Linked DNA regions of Oryctolagus cuniculus. The protein of the gene in region 1 interacts with the protein of each later gene in a biochemical or structural test. Links are inferred from orthologs where the notes say so. Each region holds a gene or a part of one and is shown on either strand. Other genes may lie near its edges.

Evidence for each region. The genes of interacting proteins can lie anywhere in the genome.
Region 2: the proteins of EED (region 1) and PPP1R8 form a complex in vitro, tested with the Homo sapiens proteins (2 studies listed by BioGRID). The link is inferred for Oryctolagus cuniculus from reciprocal best matches to the Homo sapiens genes EED and PPP1R8.

What each region holds. Positions count from the first base shown.
Region 1 is NC_091432.1:77,386,696-77,390,977, forward strand, and holds the start of EED (polycomb protein EED), read left to right. Parts: upstream 1-1,472; 5' UTR 1,473-2,257; coding exon 2,258-2,371; intron 2,372-4,282. UniProt on the Homo sapiens protein: Polycomb group (PcG) protein. Component of the PRC2/EED-EZH2 complex, which methylates 'Lys-9' and 'Lys-27' of histone H3, leading to transcriptional repression of the affected target gene.
Region 2 is NC_091438.1:143,791,420-143,794,983, forward strand, and holds part of PPP1R8 (nuclear inhibitor of protein phosphatase 1), read right to left. Parts: intron 1,798-3,564; coding exon 1,644-1,797; intron 403-1,643; coding exon 182-402; intron 1-181. UniProt on the Homo sapiens protein: Inhibitor subunit of the major nuclear protein phosphatase-1 (PP-1). It has RNA-binding activity but does not cleave RNA and may target PP-1 to RNA-associated substrates. May also be involved in pre-mRNA splicing.

The DNA.
Region 1 (4,282 bases):
GGCCAACAGCAGCAACTCTTTGATTTTAAATCCCCACTTGTATTTGTTGTGTTTGGAGGAGCTGAGCCCAATTTCTCTCCCCTACAATCTTGGTCTCTTTCAAAATAGTCCTGAAGGAAGTATCAGAATAATTTATCTTTAACATTAGTTATAATGAATATGAACTAATTTCCATCATTCATCCATCCCAAACGTATCAGAACATATAAAAAATCCCTCCTAGTTTTAATAAGACTCTTTAAAAACATTTTTGCTTTGTTACAGATAACATGAGTGCTGAATATCTTTGGGTTATTTTCTTTTCATGTACCCTTTATCCAAATGGTCAGCACTTACTCCATGTTATGACTAGAAGCTGACTCCCACATCCCACTGGACCCACGCAGCAATCTGAAATGTGTTAGCTGATTATCCGTTCCTTGTAGAGTTATATTTCACAAACAGCTTTCTCAATAAAACAGAGTATCTGTCTTTGCCCAAAAAGGTGTCACACTGAAGCACATCTTACCTTTCTCATAGCTGACTCATCTGTCACATCTCTCCCCCACACCTGAGGAGTGCTTAGCAGTGCCTGGCACATTGAGAGTGTTCCACAAATACTGCAATTAGTAAGACCTGGACTTTTTCAGCGTCCATATTTTTCCTGAATCTTTATTGTAAATATGTCTTACTCTGCCCTCTCTTTGCTTCACTTTCCTTTTTTCATTCTCAACCAAGAATTCTCTGCTAACTTCAAAAGGAGGAATGACTTGCAATCTGCAGAGAGTAAAACAGATCTTCTCACTGTCAAATCATCTTGCAGAAGTAATTCAAGTATACTACAATTTTATGGCTGCGACACTAGACTGGTTATCCCTTGTGTCTTACGACGAGATCCAAAAGAGAAAACATATCAGGCAGGTGCTCAAGGTATGCTGGGTTCCTTCTCACTTCCACGCATTTACAGATGAGGACACTGAGGTCCAGAAATACCAGCACTCACAACTGTGTTCTAAAACAAAGGAGGCTGCGTTTCCTTCAGTTGTACGGCTTGATGACCCATCTGACAAATCAACAAGACTCACCAATGTATTCTGCACCTGTCAAGAGTGCAGATGTAAGTAACAGAAACTATTTTGGTGAAGTACTAAAATTGTATTGTTATTTGCCTGTCGCTTAAGTCTCACGGGTTCATAGTTGGAACTATCCACCGATTTATAGGCCTTTGAGTTTTTCAGGGCCTTGTTTAAAAAGAGCACTTGAGTTGTAGCTGTTCAAGGGTCTGTAATTTTAGCACACTTCTACTTAAACCTTAGCCAATATTGGCCACAACCGGTTGAGGTTAAAAAAATTATTGCAATAAATATTCATCAGACCAAACATCCGTCAAGAATTTAGGGTGCGTCCTGAGACGATGATTGGTAGCGCTTTGAAATCCATCCCTGGCTATGCACACGCAGTAGAAAACTACCAGGTTCAGCAAACAAGATTTCGAAAAGAGGAGGGGCCTGGAGGAGGAGGGACCCCCACAACCCAGCGCGAGAATACGCCTCGGCGCGTGCGCACCTCCAGGTGGGTGCCTTCCATTTGCCAGATGGGGGAAGCAAGTGCGACTCAGTCTACGGTTTTTAAATTCCCATCCTCAAGCAAAAGTTACGTTGGCATAATCTCGTGAATCTCGTGAAGTCGTCACCTCCCGAGTTCAGGTTTAAAGACTCTTGGCACGCAGAGCTTAAGCAAGAGGTGACTTAGCAAAGCTTCCCCCGTCCCCTGGGACACCGGTGGTCTACTCCATCCACAGACTTTCGCTCCCTTTGCAGCGAGTCGGAGATCGAAGGATTGGGCCAATTGCGGCTGAAACGTCTCTGGAAGGAGGAAGGGGGTGACGGAGCATCCCTTTTGAGTTCTGCCTGTTCTTTTCGAGGTGGTGGTGGGGACGGGAGACATACGAAATACTACCCTCTTAAGCCAACGGATCCTACATCTCCGTGCAAACTGCCGGGGGGGCGGCGGGAAAAGGGCAAAACGGGAGTCGGGAAAGGGAAGGAGCCAGAAAGCCGCGCAGGAGGGCGCGCGCGCGCGCCCCTTTTTCAGCAGTGTGGCGGGGTCGCACGCACGCCCGCCTCGGCGGCTGGGCGCGATTTGCGACACTGGGGGGAGCGGTGGAGGTGGCGGCGGCAGTGGCAACTTTGCGGCAAGCTCCGGACGGGCTTGCTTGACGGCGGTGTGGCGGAGGCCCCGCCCGAGGCGGCAGGAACCTGGGGGGAGGCGGAGGAATATGTCCGAGAGGGAAGTGTCGACAGCGCCGGCGGGAACAGACATGCCTGCGGCCAAGAAGCAGAAGCTGAGCAGCGACGAGAACAGCAACCCGGACCTCTCTGGAGACGAAAATGTGAGTGCGGCCCGGAGCAGCCACGGGACTCTGCGGAGTGGGAGTTTTTAGATTCTTTAAAAACTGCGGGTGCGGGATGGGGGGGCCGGCGCTGGGGCGGGGAGGGGGTAGAGCGAGAGGTGTCACCCCGTGCCCGGGATGGGGAGGGCGTGCGGGCGAAGTCGAACCTGTGTCTGGCGGGGATTTTGAGCCGCGGCCGAGAGCAGGCAGAAAGTTGGCCAAGGAGAGTGGCTTAAGTGAGAGCATGGGTCCGAGAGCTCTCCTCTGCCTGTGGGGAAGTGTTCGGGCCTTTGGGAGATAGAGGGAAGAGTGCGGGTCTGAGATTCCAGTAGTTTAAAAGGCGTGCTAGATTTTCTTTTTTTTTTTTCCCTAAGAGTGGGAAGGAGCGGGCAGTCGAGAACTCTTTCAAAGGAGTTCGGGCACTGTGTCGCTCTGACCCCTGTAGAATCTTCAGGATGCAAAGGGTAGATCTTTGAGTTAATGGAGTTTGAATGAGTGTTTAAGAGCGCCTGGTGTCTGCTCCCGTCCTGTGCGAATCCAATAATGAGAATCTAAAAAAAAAAAAAAATCTTGAACGTGTTTTAGAAAGCTGGTGCGAGCATTTCTCAGTTTGGCCTGCTTTAGGAATAAATGTTGTATCTCACACACGCTGTCCTTAAATTCCCCAGCGTGAATGCCTACTGAAGCGTGTTTATGGCATGGTGTCATGACCAGGATTTTCACGGAAACGGTGGGGGAAAGATTGCTTTCTGCAGAGAAGAAAGATTTCTTGGAGATTGTCAGCTTATGGGGTTTTGCACTTAAAATTTCTGGAAAGTTTGTCTGATATTACTTTAAATATATCTATATGTATATTTCTGTTTGTTCTCCCCAGTCTCACTACATAATTGGGTCTAACATTTTTTATCTTCATTCCAAGTCTTGAAGACCAAGTTTTATTTCTTCGTTTTCGTAAAATTCTGTCGGCAGATTAGGCTGCAGTTAGGAGCACAGACGCTGGATCCACATGTTAGGTTAAAATCCCCACTCTAACTGGTTGCTTGACCTTAAGCAAAGTATGTGACCTAGCTGCCTCAGTTTCTCATCTTTAAAATGGGTATAGAAGCTTTTTTTTTTAACTTTATGAGTTATTGTATTAAATGACGTAATATAGGTAAAGTGCTTAGAGGAGTACCTGCCCTATATCAAGTATTAAGCAAGTGTTATTTGTTTATAGTACTTATTTTGTGATCACCATAGTATGTTTCTTCTGGCTATTTCACATACTGACGAATCAAAATATGAAAATGTTAAATCTATTTAGGAGAATTTCAGGAGAAGAAGTCAATTGAAATCTTATTTTCTTTTTGCAGACCCTTAAGGAGAAATGCCAGTGTTCTTTGTTTCATTCTAAAGCTATTCAGATCCAAATGATTGGATTAGCCTTTGTTTGGGTTGCTCCATTTGGCTAGAAACTGTATGTGCCTTGGACCTTTTAATGAATCTTACGGAGCCTTCTCAGAATAACATTTTTAAATATATAAAATACAATATCTAAAGTTAGAATTTTGAAATTGTAAAGTGTGGCATAAAATATTTCTAAAATAAATTTTAAGTGTAGTAATATTAGCACTTTAAATAACAGGAACTAGCAACAGATCTGGTGGCAGTGATGAGTATAAGCAAGTTTTTCAATATCTGTAACCAATATAATGTGATTTCAAAATACCTGATTTCCATTGGTGAAAAAAATCATGTAACATTAGCACATATATTGTTTGTATTATATAATAAAAGGAAGTGCTAAATTTCAGTTAAGAGCTGTGAAAGTTAAAATGCAGTTTTTTGTGTGTGTGTTTTTATTTGAATTCACAGGCCCTCTCAATTCCATAAGGACTCATGATCTAGGACATAGTTAGGGAAGTCAGTAAG
Region 2 (3,564 bases), on another chromosome or scaffold:
TATCCAAATCTGCACAATGTGGCTCTTTCCACAGCTGGCCATCTCACCCTGCTGAAGGCCCGTTACCGGACTCAAGAGAACCTGCTGCTGCTCACGCACTGGTGTTTCAACCTGCACAGAACAGCCACGGGCTGTAAAAGCAGGGTCCCCAACAACAAAAACGACATAGACGTGGAATTACATCAAGCTCGGTTTCCTCCTCTGGAAGCCCCAGCAAGCCCTTGAGCTCATCATCCTCTCCACCCATCTTCTCATCTCCTTTCACGGCCGACGGCAATGTCTGAGGTTTTTCACGCAGAGTGTATGCCCTTGTGGAGGCGCCAAATGAGACTGTGGAATCGATGGGAATTTGCTGAGGCTTGTGAGGTTCCAACCGAATGTGACCTAAGAAAGTGCCGTGTGCTGGGAATAACCAAATCAGAAATGTAAGGTGGGAGAAACCAAAAACAGCCCGAGTTTTAGGGGGAAGCGCATCATCTTCAACTCTCTTAGGTCAAGTCCTCCCAGCACATCAGTTCAGTTTGTTTGTTCATAAAAATGCCACAGTCAGGACTATGGTGAGAAAACACAAGCTTTATAAAATGAAAATGGCACTGGATCCACTGCATCCTCTGTCCTATGTTACAGTGAGCCTTGAATCTTTTCAGTGGACTTCTCACACATCTTCAGACCTGCTGTCCCCCCAAGTAACAAATGCCACTGCCTGCTCTCTGCTGCCAGATAGGCGTGGCTCCATTCTGGGTCCAACAGCAGTGGCTCCCACCCAGCGGAAGGTAAACCCCTGCAAGACAGGAGACACGCGCATCACCGTAGTCTGCTCTCTCCAGCCCCAAGTCTAAGGAACATAGGAACTGCTTGTCTGGTGGAAACTGGGTTTAACGCTTGGGCTTTTCCCAGGACAAGAAAGGAGACTGGCTGCAATAGGCCCATTGCCAATGCCAAGGCTGTCAAAACCTTTGCATGTTATAAATGAAAAGCAAAGATGAAGTAAGTACTCGTAAGGCAAGGCTCCAAGTTCTTCATGACGCACACAAGTGGTGTGTTTTGTAGGGACAGAGGAAGAGTCAAAGAGGGCACATGAAGACACTTTAGGACTCCATGCAGTCAACCTGCAATTGAATTTCTATGGATTATTTTTAGCAAAATTTGAAAACTTATTATTTGGAGTAACTTCCTAGAATTAAGATTTATATCATTTGTTGGCAAAACAAATATACCTATTGTAAATAACTAAATTTTGCTCACAAAAAAAAGTATTTTTTAAATGTCCTACCTACATCACTGCTCTACTATTCTAACAGAGCTAACACTAGCTTCTGCTTAAACTGGACCATAATTCATCACGGTCCAATCAATATCTAAATACCCACCGGCCCTGGTTGCTGGGAGCTTTTTTGTTTCTCTATATATACTTATTACTGCCTCTTCAAGCAGGTGCTCCTCAAAGCTCTCTGCTCTCCACAGTCAGTCATCATTAATTTCAGGAAAACAGGAGAATCACAGGAATAGACAAAGACTGATTTTAAAAAACACACTTAAACCTTTTCCTTTGTGAGCAATAAAACATGTTTTTCAAACCAAAGAACCCAAAGAGCATTTTCACACTGCCAAGGGGAACAGGTGAGATGGGAAAAGGTACTTACTACTATTGAGATCTATCAGGAAAACTCTCTTCAGATGCTTGTGGTAGACCAGTGCAGCATGGACCCGAGAGCAAGACTGATGGTCAATGGTAAAGTCACACAAATCAGGGTTTCTCCCAAATAAGTAATATTTCTTCTCATCAATAATCAGTTTCTAAATAAATATTAAATTAAAATATTACTTATATCTTGTTTTAACAGGGTTAACCAAAAACACCTCCAAACAAATAAAGAGGATCTTGAATAAGACAAAATCTTTCGCCACGAAGAGCTCAGGGTAAGTGACCGACCTAATCCATCAGGGGGTTGTCAACCAGTCTCCTCAAATGCAGCTCAGTTGTCCAGCATCTGTATGAAAATAACTTTTCTTGATTCTAACAGATTTAGGTGGCCTGTCCCCAAGAAAGCAATAATTTTTTTTTTTTATTTTTTTTATTTTATTTTTGACAGGCAGAGTGGACAGTGAGAGAGACAGACAGAGAGAAAGGTCTTCCTTTGCCGTTGGTTCACCCTCCAATGGCTGCCGCCGGTGCATCGCGCTGATCCAATGGCAGGAGCCAGGTACTTCTCCTGGTCTCCCATGGGGTGCAGGGCCCAAGCACCTGGGCCATCCTCCACTGCACTCCCTGGCCACAGCAGAGAGCTGGCCTGGAAGAGGGGCAACCGGGACAGAATCCAGCGCCCCGACCAGGACTAGAACCCGGTGTGCCGGCGCCACAAGGTGGAGGATCAGTCCAGTGAGCCGCGGCGCCGGCGTAAGAAAGCAATAATTCTACTAGTGGTTGGCTTCTATCTGCTGGAAATTTAAGGTCTCATTAGATCTGAATTTAAAATTTTTTAAAACTTCTTTATTTTTTATTTGAAAAATAGAGAGAGGGATTTTCCATCCACTGGTTCACTCCCCAAATGCTCACAGTAGCTGAGGCTGAAGCCAGGAGCCACAAACTCAATCCAGGTCTTCCATGTGGGTGGCAGAGACCTAACCGCTTGAGCTATCACCTGCAGCCTCCCAGGGTTCAAATTAGCAGGAAGCTGATATTAGAAGCAGACCTAGGACTTGAACCTAGGCACTCTGAAATGGGATGCCAGCAGCCCAAGCAGTGTCTTAATCACTGCACCAAGCACCCACCCTTGTCTATCAGGAAACAAGATGCACAAAGCATATCTATAAAGCAATAAGACTGCTTTTCAGAAAATACATATTCAAATTAAGGCTATCACTTGGTTGGGAAAGGAATAAGGTATAAACATCTATCTATATTCTAATCATGCTGTCATAGCTCCGAAGTATTTTTGGAACACTGCAAGAACTGGAATTATGTTAGCCAACACTGCATGAACTCCTGAATATAACTTTATTGTCCCATTTCAGTTTTGCCACAAAAAGATTATCCAGAGTTAACACTAAATGAGCATTTACTGTGTCCAAATATGGAACCACCGCACGAGGCAGACTTTCCAGACTGAAGGAAGGTATGGGAAGTAACGTTTAATGAAGATGCCTATTGCTAGGCATTCGAAACATTATCTCCTTAAAACAAGTCTATGAAGCAAGCAGCATCTCTACTGTTAAAGAGAAAAGAACAGAGCCAGAGAGATGCAGTCAGTCACTCAAGGTGGCCTGGCTGGTTAAGTGGGAGGGCAGCTAGGGTTTAAACTCAGACTTGCAACGATAATTGATAATTCTAAACACAGTGCCCTGGACCTGGAACAATTCTAAAAACTCAGCTGCTACTGTGGCACTGGAAAAAAAAAAAAAAAAACAGAACTAAACTACAAAAAATTGTGGAGTAAGAAGGGGCTGACATAGATGTGTTAATGTTTTATTTTCCCAAGTAAAGACATAAAAAAAAAAAAACTTCCATGAAGGGCTGGCACTGTGGCACAGTGAGTAAAGCTGCTGCCTATGATGCCAGCATCC